Linked DNA regions of Cricetulus griseus. The protein of the gene in region 1 interacts with the protein of each later gene in a pairwise test. Links are inferred from orthologs where the notes say so. Each region holds a gene or a part of one and is shown in the gene's direction. Other genes may lie near its edges.

What was found. The genes of interacting proteins can lie anywhere in the genome.
Region 2: the proteins of Pdik1l (region 1) and CUNH1orf174 interact in binary tests that used the Homo sapiens proteins (3 or more experiments, as listed by UniProt). The two-hybrid records come from large-scale screens. The link is inferred for Cricetulus griseus from reciprocal best matches to the Homo sapiens genes PDIK1L and C1orf174.

What each region holds. Positions count from the first base shown.
Region 1 is NC_048595.1:19,021,781-19,027,853, forward strand, and holds the start of Pdik1l (serine/threonine-protein kinase PDIK1L), read left to right. Parts: upstream 1-2,561; 5' UTR 2,562-2,605; intron 2,606-2,631; coding exon of another isoform or gene 2,632-2,712; intron 2,713-5,434; 5' UTR 5,435-5,451; coding exon 5,452-5,736; intron 5,737-6,073. Other genes in the region: translation initiation factor IF-2-like, read right to left, coding at 1,962-2,561, 2,632-2,712.
Region 2 is NC_048595.1:2,367,347-2,373,487, reverse strand, and holds the start of CUNH1orf174 (UPF0688 protein C1orf174 homolog), read left to right. Parts: upstream 1-2,782; 5' UTR 2,783-2,910; coding exon 2,911-2,925; intron 2,926-5,161; coding exon 5,162-5,275; intron 5,276-6,141.

The sequences.
Region 1 (6,073 bases):
CCACCCAAAGGTGGAAGGAGAGAATGGACTCCACAAAGTTGTCCTGTGACTTCCATATATACATCAGACAAGCACAGATACATTTTTTTTAAAGGTTGGCCAGGCCTGTGGTGGCACACACCCTTAATACCAGCACTCAGGAGGGTAAAGGCAGGTGGATCTGTTATACAGAGTAAATTCAAGGCAGACCAGGACTACTAAGGAAACCCTGCCTCAAAAACAAACAAAAGCACTGCAGAAGAATGTGGAGTCATTCTTCTAATTGAATTGATAATAGGCCTTTTAAAAGTTTAGAATATGCCAGGTGGTGGTGGCATGTGCCTTTAATCCCAGAACTTGGGAGGCAGACACAGGTGGATCTCTATGAGTTCAGAGGCCAGCCTGGTCTGCAAGGCAAGTTCCAGGACAGGCTCCAAAGCTACACAGAAAAACCCTGTCTCAAAAAAAAAAAAAAAAAGGTTTAAAATATAAGCAAATGTGTTTATCATTCACACAAAAGATGGCATACTATAAAACACTGGTCTCCTAGTTAGCTTCAGCTGTCAACTTGATATTACAGCTATTTGAGCTGGACTCAGGGGATTGCCTCCATCAGACTGGCCTGTGAGCATGTTCGTGGGGCGTTTTTGTTCATTCTTTTTTTGTTTTTGGAGTCAGAGTTTCTCTGTATTGTTTTGGAGCCTGTGCTGAAACTCACTCTGTAGACCAGGTTGGTCTCAAACGCAGAGATCCACCTGCCTCTGCCTCCTGACTGCTGGGATTAAAGGTGTGTGCCACCAACGCCCAGGGTTTTTTTCTTGATTGCTAATTGACAAAGCAGTGCTCACCCCAATGTGGGCAGTGCTATTTCTAGGCAGGCCAGCACAGGCTGTTTCAGAAATGTAGCTGAACCATGACCTGGTAGCAAGCCATTAAGTTGTCTTTCCCCAGTTCCTGCCCTGACTTTCCTCAATGATCAATTTATGACCCTGACCCTGGAAATTTAAGTCAAACAAACCCTTTCCTTTTTGTTTTTAATCATAGCAATAGGAAAACAGCTTGAACAGGTATGTCCCTTGAAGCTCCTGTGACATTTAATGACTGTAATGAACAGAGAGATCTCTTCCTAGTCTGACCTGTAACACAGTAGCCAGCATTCCCATCCCGTCCCCTCCCCTTTCCAGGACAGGAAACAAGTCTTGACTGAAGCCTGCATTCCCAGCGAACTGGTGAACACCAGTACCAGGAAGGCACTCAGGACAAACTAAACAGATTACTGGAGTTTTATTAGGAGAGGAGCTGGAGGTTGTTACACCAGGGGCAGGAGCGGATTTTTCTAGAAAGGCACCTTTTGGTCAAATGTAGCACAAGTCAGCTTTCTCTCCTGTGAAGGCGGGGTCAATAGTAAAGCCTTGACTTGTGGAGTTTAGTACGGATTCTACAAAAAGTTGCCCAGTTCCCAAACATTAGCCCAAGAAACAGAAGACTTAAGGAAAATTAACCTGGAGCTCAGTCACAGATTCTTACTGTACCTTATTAGCAAACAGTAGGTGCAGCATAATAAAGAAAAGAATGGGTGTTTTTGGAAGATGCTGACTGAATCTGTGTAACTAACGGGCCGGCCCACTGGTCCTCGCCTCTGAGTGACTGTGAGCCTGATGGTAGAGTTCAGGAGGACTGCTGCCGGGACATGACTGTCAGCTGCTGGGGAGATCCGAAAGGCTTCGCCCCCGAAGCGCCCACCATCCGGACGAGTGCAGTTCTGGTCCTTGGCGACCTGCCTTGCGTGCCGGCACCCTCCTACCTGAGTTCGGGCCTGCTAGGCGGGGCGCTGCAGCCAGGTAGGCCGCGCCCTCTGCCCCGCGCCCGCCCGACAGAGCAACTCCATCCTTACCGCCGGGAACAATGAGGTTCCGGCTTCTTTAAGGGAGATACCACCGCGCCGGTGGGGCAGGGGACGGCGTCCTCCCAGATGATCGCCCTCAGTCGTCCCGCATCACCGCCTGGGCCGCGGCGCCGCCCGCAAGCAACCCGGGGGACCCGGACAGAAGGTGCAGCCTCCCTTCCCCGGCCGCACCACCCCGCGGGCCCGCCGCCCACACCCGCCACCCGCGGAAGATGCGCCGGGCGTCGGGTCGCAGCGACCGCTCGGTACGTGTGCAGGGGACAGGGTGGGCAGCCGGCGGCCGGGCTCGTGCACTGCCGGCCCGGGGCAGTGGCCGCGGCTTCCCCAGAGTCCAGGCACCCGCACCCGCCGCGGCAGAGGGCGACCGTCGTCCCCAGCCGCCACCCCCGCGGGCCCGGGCAGCAGTGGTCCGCCCTGCAGCGCGCACACCCCGCGGGCGCCGCTCGGCTCTGCGCGGCACCGGAGCAGCGAGCGGCGCCGGAGCGCCACGCCGCACGCGCGCAGGACCGGCGCTCGCTCGCCCAGCAGGCGGCGCTCGGTGACGCACGCGCACTACGGCAAGCCGGAGGGGGCGGGGCCCGGCGTGAGGGGGTGTGTCCGCGCACCACGGGGGCGCGCGCCGGCTTCTGACTGGAGGCCGCGGCAGCCGAGGCGCGAGCTGCCCGATAATGGCGGCCTGCAGAGCTCATGAGAGGGAGAAGCGGCGGCGGCTGCCCTGAGGTAAATCTGGCCCTTCGTCGTGGCACGGATGCCCTGCGTTCAGAACCGCCCTCCCTGCATGTGTCGCTGGCCCAGCAGGCCCGTTCCAGACCTCTCAGCGGAGTCATCCCCGGGAAGGCCCGGCGCTGCCCCGGCCAGCGGCCCGGACTGCGGCCTCCGTTCCCGCCCGGGCCACTCCCGGGCACCGGCCCCTCGTCTGCAGCCGCAGGGAGCCGAGCGGCCGTGCAGCCGGCTGCAGGGCCGCGGGAGGGTCCCTCGGGGTTTCAGGGCACTGTCGCCGGGAGCGATCTTGCTGCTGGGGCAGCGAGCGCGGCCTGAGCACCCTCACTTGTCCCCTTCGCGGCACCAGCAGGTGCATGTCCAGGCCGGCCGTGCCCAGCGCCCGGGGACCGCAGCAGGCAGGAGGGTCCGGGACACGCCATCGAAAGGCACACAGGTTCTCGAAGGATGCTTCCCCGGGGCGCCTCTCCCTCCAGGATCCCGGGGATTTGATAGACACCTTCCCTCCTTGTTCAGGAAGGTGTCCCCCCCCTGTCTCGGGGGACCGTGGCAAGTGGGAGAGAAGGGACTGCTGCACAGAAAAGAGCCACTTGGAAGCGCACAGTAGCTGGCGATCGGCGCAGAGCAGAGCAGAGCAGAGCAGGGCTGTGGCAGGAAATTTGACATTAGGAAATAAAGCAGTAGGAACTTGAAGGATAGGCGACCAATTAAAGGAAGTAGCGCTCTCGGCAATCCTCAGAAGCAGTCATTTTCTTTTCAGTCTTGCTTATGGACTTAAAAGTAGTTGTTCCCGGAGTTTTCAGCTTCCAGGGTCAGTCACTTTTTGTTTCTCTGATTGGGCAATGTAAATACAATCTCAGGTTACTTTTTCTGCCGGCGATGACAGGCAGCGGCGAGTGAGCATTTGAGGAGTGAGGAAGCACACTGCAGGCTCTCCAGTCAGAAGAACGCTCTGCAGGGCCTGTGCTGTAGCTTGCCTTTAAATGATTTATTAATTTGGAACTTCAGAGAACTTTTCTCAGAGAATTCCCTTTGATGTATAAGATGCTCCCCCACTTTGGCAAAAATGACCTAGAATTAAATAGCTATGTTAAACGATAATAAAAAAAAGTAGTTCTAGTCTGAGCAACTTGCTTCGTTTTAAAGAAGTTCTCCTACAAAAACTTTGTGTTTATTTTGTAAGAAATAAATAACCAAGCATACTGGCGCATGCTTATAACCCCAGGACTAGGAAGGTGGAGGCAGGAGGATCAGTAGTTTGGGATCATTCTCTGCTACATAGTGAGTTCAAGGCTAGCCTGAGTTACTGGAGACACTGTCTCAAACAAAACAAAATGGTCTTGTTCACTTTCAGTCCATAAGCATAAGTCAGGGGATTTTTGCATTTCACTGTTTTTATTACCTTTCATATATGCATCAACCTTAAGGAGATACAGATACATTGCTTCATTTTTTTCATGATCAGTAAATTAAAATGTTGAATTTTGAGTTTATTTGTTTATTGTTTTTCGAGACAGGGTTTCTCTGGGTAGCTCTGCCTGTCCTAGAACTCACTCTGTAGACCAGACTGGCCTTGAACTCAAGGGCAGCCTGCTTCTGTCTCCTGAGTGCTGGGATTAAAGCCTGAGTGCTTGGATTAAAGGCTGGAGCCACTGCTGTCCAGCTTTGGGTTATTTTTATCAATGACATGCTCCAGCAGTTCCTATAAGAAGTAATGTAGTTTAGGGTTTAAGTCATGGATATCTGAACCAAAGAGCTGCCTGGCCACTGGCTTTGTACTTAACCCTCTCTGTGCTTTAATTTCCTCACTTCTAAAATGACCATTATAACACCTACCCCTTGCTACACAGATTATGGTTAGGGATTAAATGAATGTAGTATAAAGTAGCCAGGTAGTGTCACCACCCATCATTCCAGAGACAGAGGTAACCAGGGCTGTTGAGATTGGTTCAGTGGGTAAAGTTGCTTTCTGCCAAGCCTTACAACATAAATTCAATTCCTGGGACCCACATGGTAGAAGGAGAGAACTGACTCCCACATATTGTCCTCTGATTTCCACAAAGACACAAGCGTACACACGAAATATGCAATACAGCTTTTAAAAAGTGAAAGCCATCTTGAGCTATATAATAGCAAGATCCTATCTCTTTAAAGGGGGCTGGAAGGAAGGCATGGTGCACACGTCTTTAATCCCAGCACTGGGGAAGCAGAGGCAGGCTTATCTCTGTGAGCTGAAGACCTTGTCCAAAACAGGGGTGGGTGGGTGGAGCCTGGAGAGAGAGTTGAGTGGATAAAGCGTTTGTCCAGTAAATATAAGGAACTGAGTTTGGATCCACAGAACCCACATACAGCCAGATATCCTTCGTGAGATGGGAGGCAGAAACAACAGTCTCCAGAAATTCACAGGCAGCTATCCTGCCGTGCTCTACTCGTTAGCAGTGACAGGAGAGCCAAGGTGTGCCATGGCATGGGCATGCCTGCACTCACACACCAAGATAAACTTTAAAAAAAGTCAGAAATGATAGTGCTGTAGCCATGGCTTCTGAAGCCAGCCTGACCTACACATCAAGCTCCAGGCCAGGGGAACTTGGCAAGACTCTGTCTCAAAGACAACAAAAACTTTAGAAACCATTGTAAGGTATTTGAAATAGTTCCTAATATAGGGTAAGTGCTATCTGTTACCTTTTTTTTTTATTATTGGTAGATTCCTCCAAAGTATAGATAGATATCTTTCAAGTACCACAGTGAAACAGTTAGTTAAATCATGCATAAGAATACAAACCAATAGGTACACCTAACTTCAACAGAGTACTTTGTTGATTTTTCCAGAAACCTCGACCTTGAAGATGGTGAGTAGCCAGCCAAAGTACGATCTAATACGGGAGGTAGGCCGAGGTAGTTACGGTGTTGTGTATGAAGCAATCATCAGAAAGACCTCTGCGAGAGTAGCAGTGAAGAAAATCCGATGCCACGCACCTGAAAATGTTGAACTAGCCCTTCGAGAGTTCTGGGCACTAAGCAGTATCAAGAGCCAGCATCCAAATGTGATTCACTTGGAAGAGTGCATCCTGCAAAAAGATGGGATGGTGCAAAAGATGTCCCACGGCTCTAATTCTTCCCTTTATTTACAGGTATGTGTCACTGGATAGGAAATGGACGCAATATTGGTCAGCAAGAGGAAAAAAGTGTCAGATGAACTTCTCCCTTAAAAGGCAGGTGTTCTATGACTAAGTGCAGGTAGAGGTCTTCAGAGGATAGAGGAGATACTTACTTTAAGCCTGAGCTGCACATGCCTAAAAATAACATAAGCCACCTGTTATGCCTAGTACCTGCCAGTCTGCGTAGGAATAGGACAATATGGGAACTGGAGGAATAGGACAATTTGAGACTAGCATCAAAGTTCAGTTCCTGGACACCAATTCTTTTGAAAATAAACGCAGAACACCACAGTCAGTAACAGCCACACCC
Region 2 (6,141 bases), about 17 Mb from region 1:
GTGAGACAAGACTAAGCTAAGGCCAAGCTTTCATAATTAATAATAGGTCTCTGTGTCTTTATTTGGGAGCTGACAGTACAGAGAAAGTCTTGCTTGTCAGGGCCCATAAAGAGGGGTCCATTTCATCTTGCCTCAATATCAGAGAATTCAAAACTACCCTTACATCTGTAAGTTTATAGCTTGGCTGCTGCAGGATGTTTCTGCCTTGGTAGTGGATGTCTTTAAATAACAACAGACTTAGGCTCAGAGGTGTTTACTCTTGACCCTGAAGGCCTGATACCTGGAGGATTAAGGGAAGTAAGTCTGTCTGGCCCTTATACAGGATAATAGAAGTCTTCTGCCATTGCCCCCACTTTTGGTTCAGTACTTAAGAATGTTGCAGAATGAACTCTGAGCATTCAGTATGGGCTGGATTTTGCCCTCCTGATAATATTCTGTGTCTCCATCTTTTCTATTAATGTCTTTAGCTAGCTTTTCTCAATCCACACTCCCCCTCTCAGGTACAAACCGTGGGCCCCTCAAACACAGCCTCCCACACTTGCTACAAGATGGATCTGTTTTGATTAACGGGCTTGGCTTATACAAGCCTGGGCTTACTGAAATGCCCCTTCCCATGATGCATCTGGTTTAACCATATGCAGGCCCAATTATGGATAGGCACAACATGGTAAATAGGAGTTCTTCCCTAAATACTCAGAGGACACAATTTGCCTTACTGCCCAAGCACTCAAAGCAAGTCTTGGCCCCTCACCCTGTACCCAGCTATATTCTAAAATATATTTGAATGAAAACTGACCACAATGAGAGATATTGATGGTGTTAGTGGAGGGTATATAAAAGACACGAGTTATGTGGCAACACATAGATGAATAGAAATGGGTTAATTTAAGTTATAAGCACTAGTGGGACAAACCTAAGCTATAAGCTGAGCTTTCATAATTAATAAGAAGTCTCCATGTCATTTTTGTGAGCTGGCAGACCAAAGAAAAGTCCAACAACACTCACCCATGACCTACTATGGATGCCTGACAAAATCTCATAGGCCCCCATCCTTAATGTTGGCCTTGATTCTGGAAGCAGTGAGGCAATCTTAAGAGCTCCAGCAAGATTCTAGTCATAGATCCATTCTGCAATCATGTGTTCAGCTGAGATTTCCAGTCCAGACTTACAGAACTGCTGGTTGGTTGTACCATGTAAGAATACAATGTCAGTACCACCCATGGTGGCGATGAGGAAACACCATTCCCATCCCAACTAGGGACAAGACAGTGTACCTATTCTTAGAAAGAGCACTTGTTGATATTACAGAGGACCTGGGTTCTGCTCCCAGCACCCACACGTGGCTAACACCCATCCATAACTCCCATTCCAAGTGATTCCATGTCCCCTTCTGACCTCCAAGAGCTCCAGGAACACATCTGGTCCACAGACACACATGTGATCAAAATACTCTTGTCCATAAAGTAAATCGACACCAACTTCAAAGCCCAGTAGAACCAGGACCTGGCTTTCTGAAGGACGAAGGGAAATCATTGAGCCAAGCCTAGAATAACTTGTGATGACCGGGCAGGCTCGTCCTGTCACGGCACATGCTGGTTTTTTACAGCTGGCTGCGATTATATTAATTTCCTTTCCAATGGCTTTCCCGCCAGTCACACATCTGTCAGTCCCCTTCCAAGCACCGTGGGAAATAATGGGGAAGAAGCATGAGGCTGAGGAGGAGGGAATGCCAGCCAGGAAGGTGAGCAGAGGGCATCAGTATGCCAAAGCTGCAAGGTGCCTGGCTACCTCCCCAAAGGCTAGTCCTACCAGCAGCCTGATTTCTGGGGCTCTACCCGTGCAATACCCAGTGGAGCCCTCCTAGAGGTAGAGGAGCCCGCACAGGTCTGCATTGCTCGTCTCCTGTAGTGCCCTGGAGAGATCTGTCAGTCTCCTTCATTTCATCAGCAATGCGACCCAGCAAGACAGAGGCTGAGGCCCAGATTTCATTTGTGTTTGAAGCTCTTTCTTATTTTCATATTATTTATTTATTTATTTATTTATTTATTTATTTATTTATTTATTTGGAGGGAGAATGAGTCGGTCTCGGGATGGAGTGTCCGTCGTGTCAGAGGACACCTTGTGGGTATCTTGAGGTCAAAGTCTAATTGTCAGGTTGGACTGCAAGTGCCCCGACCCTCTGAGCGCCTGCCGAGGCCCGCAAAGAGGCCAGGGCCGCCCGTCCTCGGCTTCGCTGAGGGTAAATGGGACCCCGAGCTGATGGTGGCCCCGCAGGGTAGGAAGGAAGGGGCCGAGACCAGAGAGAGGAGGGCCCCCAGCCGGGGAGCTGGCCCTTCTCAAACACGGCGGCCGCGGAGGCAGCACGTGATGTCCCTTTTCCAACATGGCGACTTACGCATCCTAAGGAGCGCCCTTCTCAAACATGGCGGCCGCGGAGGCAGCACGTGATGTCCCTTTTCCAAAATGGCGACTTACGCATCCTAAGGAGCGCCCTTCTCAAACATGGCGGCCGCGGAGGCAGCACGTGATGTCCCTTTTCCAAAATGGCGACTCACGCATCATCAACAGGAGCGCCCTTCTCAAACATGGCGGCCGCGGAGGCTTCGAAGGGCGAGCGTTTCTCAAACGTGGCGGTTAGACACGGCGGGCTCACACGCACCCGAGGCAGCGCCCGTTCCCCGTGTGGCGGGCGCGCCGCCCGGCTTCCGGCGCTCCGCCCTAGGCTCAAGTTCCCGGAAGCGCGTTCGGCCCGCTGTCGGGAGGGGCGGGCTTTGCTTGCGGCACGTGATCGCGAGGCGCCGCCCTGCGATTGGCCGGCCGGCGGTGACGTCAGACGCAGCGGAGGCGCGCGCCGAGAGCCGCGCGGTTGGGACTCTGCGGAGGAGCGTTAGGCCCGGGCGGCGCTCACTCATGAGGAGCAGGAAGGTGAGGGGCCCAGCAGGCGGGACGCGCGCCGCGCCGCGCCGGGCCGTCCGCTCCCCCGGGGCCTGCTGGGCCTCGCCTGGCAGCGGCCCCTGCCCTGGGCGCCTTGGACCCCCAGCTCCGCCCCTGGGAGCGCAAGACCGTGCACCCCGTCCCACCCCAACGCCACAGGCCCTGCCCCAGGAGTGGGGTGAGGGCCGCAAGTCTGCCGCTCGCACTGGAGGCGGCCCCTGACAGTGCAGGTGGCCGCCCCGGCTCCCTCCCCTCCACTCTGCATGGTGTAGCTGACCTCAGCCAAACCCCTGTGTCGTGTTGACTGGGCAGGGACTGGCAGTGTGACAGCAGGGAGGGGGACTGGGCCCAATCCGCAGCTGCAAAGGGGCTCTGACCTGGCCTGGCGGGTACCGTGAACTCCCACTCCTTTCACTAGTGCCCTTCAGCCGGAGGTGTGGCTGCTGTCTGCCTACAGGTGGCCAAAATCCAGGCAGACATCCGGCCTTCGGGTGGACCTGTGTAGGCGTTTGCGTGTAGTGTTGATAGGTAACTGTGCCCCACGTTGGTATTGTCTTTGTTGCTGTCCCTCTTGAATAGGCAGACGTTAAGGTTTGACTTGAATCATTTTTCCCACTGTGCTTTTTACTTCCTTGTGTGGGTATTTTCAGAATTGTACTGCCTCAGTTCCAGTGAGATACAGAATGACCTAACTCGTGTAGTTCTCTCCCCGCCTTTTGTGGTCTTTTGTTAGACATCTGTTGACAGTCCAGCCCTGGATTTACACCGTCTTCCGCTTCAGCCACTTCCTTAGGCCAGCAAGGCTCCTTCATGCCCACCCCCTATGTTACTGCCTTTAGAGAGAAGTGTGTTTAAAATATTCTGTACAAGGACTTCCCTTGTGGGAGGGGTGATCCAGTGCGTGGTTTCTTTGGTTACTGTTGGGGTCACTAGCTTCAGCTAGAACTCCCAGCAGTTCTAAAGCAACAGTCCTCAGTTGGCATCTAGAAATGTCTTTATTCAGGCCTTTATTTTGCAGGACAGGTTTTCTGGTATAGATTTTCTTAATTGACTTTTTTTTTTTTAAGTGCACCAAGTGTATTCACTGTGACTCCCACTGTTTGTGCAAAGTAAGGGGTTGGTTTCTTACCAGTTCTTCCAAGATTAGCACTGCTACAGGGGATGGTGTGTCCACGGGTCTATCCTCTCCTCTCTCTTGTGTCAGAGGTAGCCTGTCAACTTGGAGTTGAGTTTGTTAAGATTCCTCAATGTATAGATTATTGTTTGCAGTAAACACAGGAAGTTTTCAACCATTATTTCTTCGAATACTTTTTTTGCTCTCTTCCTTTATTGTTGTCCCTTACATATGTGCTGGTGTGTAAATTTAAGGCCAGCCTAGGCTACATGGGGAGTTCTCGGTCAGCCAGGACAATAAGATGATGTGTGAGACAGTTGTGTGTGATGACAATCTGTGACCCCAGCACTCAAGAAGCTAGGGCAGATGGATGGATCTTGCATTCAAGACTTGTCAAAGTAATTTAATGAAAACTTTCTCAAAAAAAAATATTTTAAGGGGTGGAGTCAGGAATATGGCACAGTTGGTAGGATGCCTACCTAGCATGCATGAAGCACAGTTCATTTCTCCATCCCACATAAGCCAAATGTATCAGCTCACATCTGTGATCCTAGCACTTGGGAAATAGAGGCAGGTTCAGGGGTGCAAGGTCCTCATTAGCTACATAGCAAGTCTGAGGCCAGCCCGGGTTACATAAGACTCTGTAGGAGAGAGAGGCACACGGGTATGAGTTCATGTCCACTTGCTACCATGCTGGTTCTTGGAAACATACAAGACAAGGGGACTGATGGTCCCAAACCTCCACCATGGACAAGCACACAGCCAGCTTTTGTCTTCAGTTGTATTTGTGTGCACGCGTGTGCTGTACCACCTGTGTGGCATGTACCCAGCATAGGTAGAAGCCAGAGGACAATCGTCAGAAGTTGGTTCTTGTCTTCCACTATTTGAATCTTTAGGATTGAATCGGGTCCTCAGTCCTAGTGGGAAGCGCTCTTTCCCACTGAGCCATCCCTCTGGCCCTGGACCCTGTATCTAAACCTGGACAGTTGGGTTGAAGCAGCATGGGCCATAGCAGCCTTGTGAGGGAATGTGGGCAGGCTCTGAGCTGAGCACCCACAGCTCTGTACTGGCATTCTGCCCAAAGCATGCTCTCTGAGCTTCATTCTTGTCTAGCTCACAGGTGGAGTGCGATCCTCAGCACGCCTTCGGGCCCGCCGTTACTCTTCAGCCAGCTCGGCCCCTGCCGAGGACATTGCCAGCTCCACATCCGCCAAGACAGCATGTCTGGTGAGCTTCACTACCAAGAACACCAAGGCCTTGGCTCCATCCGTTCCCACAGTTGTCACTCCGAGACGTGTTGTGTGAAATAGAAGCCATTGCTGCTGTGTGTAGCCTGGGAGACATTTCAGGCCATGTGACAGTGCCGTCCCTGCTGTCAGAGAGGGGTGCTCGTGGCAGTGCAGCTGAGTTTCCTTTTGTGCACCAACACCATGTGTGCAGAAGTGTGCTAGCAATCCAGACACTAAGGCTCAGCTTTGTGCATTGTGCCACTTTGAAGGTGGCCTGCCCAGCCATGTGAGTCTGTCACCTGCTTCACCCCTAAAGCTGAGAGAACAGTCAGGCAGCAAGGAAAGGACTCACAAGTGGTCTGTTACACATCACAGTGCAGCTGCCCTAGTAAGGGAATCTCATCCCCAAATGACGTAGCTGGGGCTTGGGGCACACATCTACAACTGGCCTCGCACAGCGCTTACTCAGGACAGCACACTGACACTTTGCTGAAGCCAGCCTGGGTGTCTGCTGATGCCTACAATGTCCAGGCACTGTCACAAAAAAAGCAAAGAGCCAGGAGCTTGCTTGGAGTGGGGAGATGGAAACTGGGATCTTTTACATCATTTTTTACATTACATTTTTATCTGTTTGAAGGAGAGGCACACATGTCACAGTGCATAGGTTGAAGTCAGAGGACAACTTGAAGTAGAAGATTCTCCTTTCACCCTGTGGGTCCTGGGATGTCATTTTGGCAGCAGGCACCTTTATGCACTAAGCCATTTTGCGTGTCCCTACTATGATCTTAAAGCAAGTAGGCAGGCACTTCAGAAAACCGCCTGTTGGAGTGGCGCTGTGGAGTCCTCCTTGGCCTCCAGTCTGTC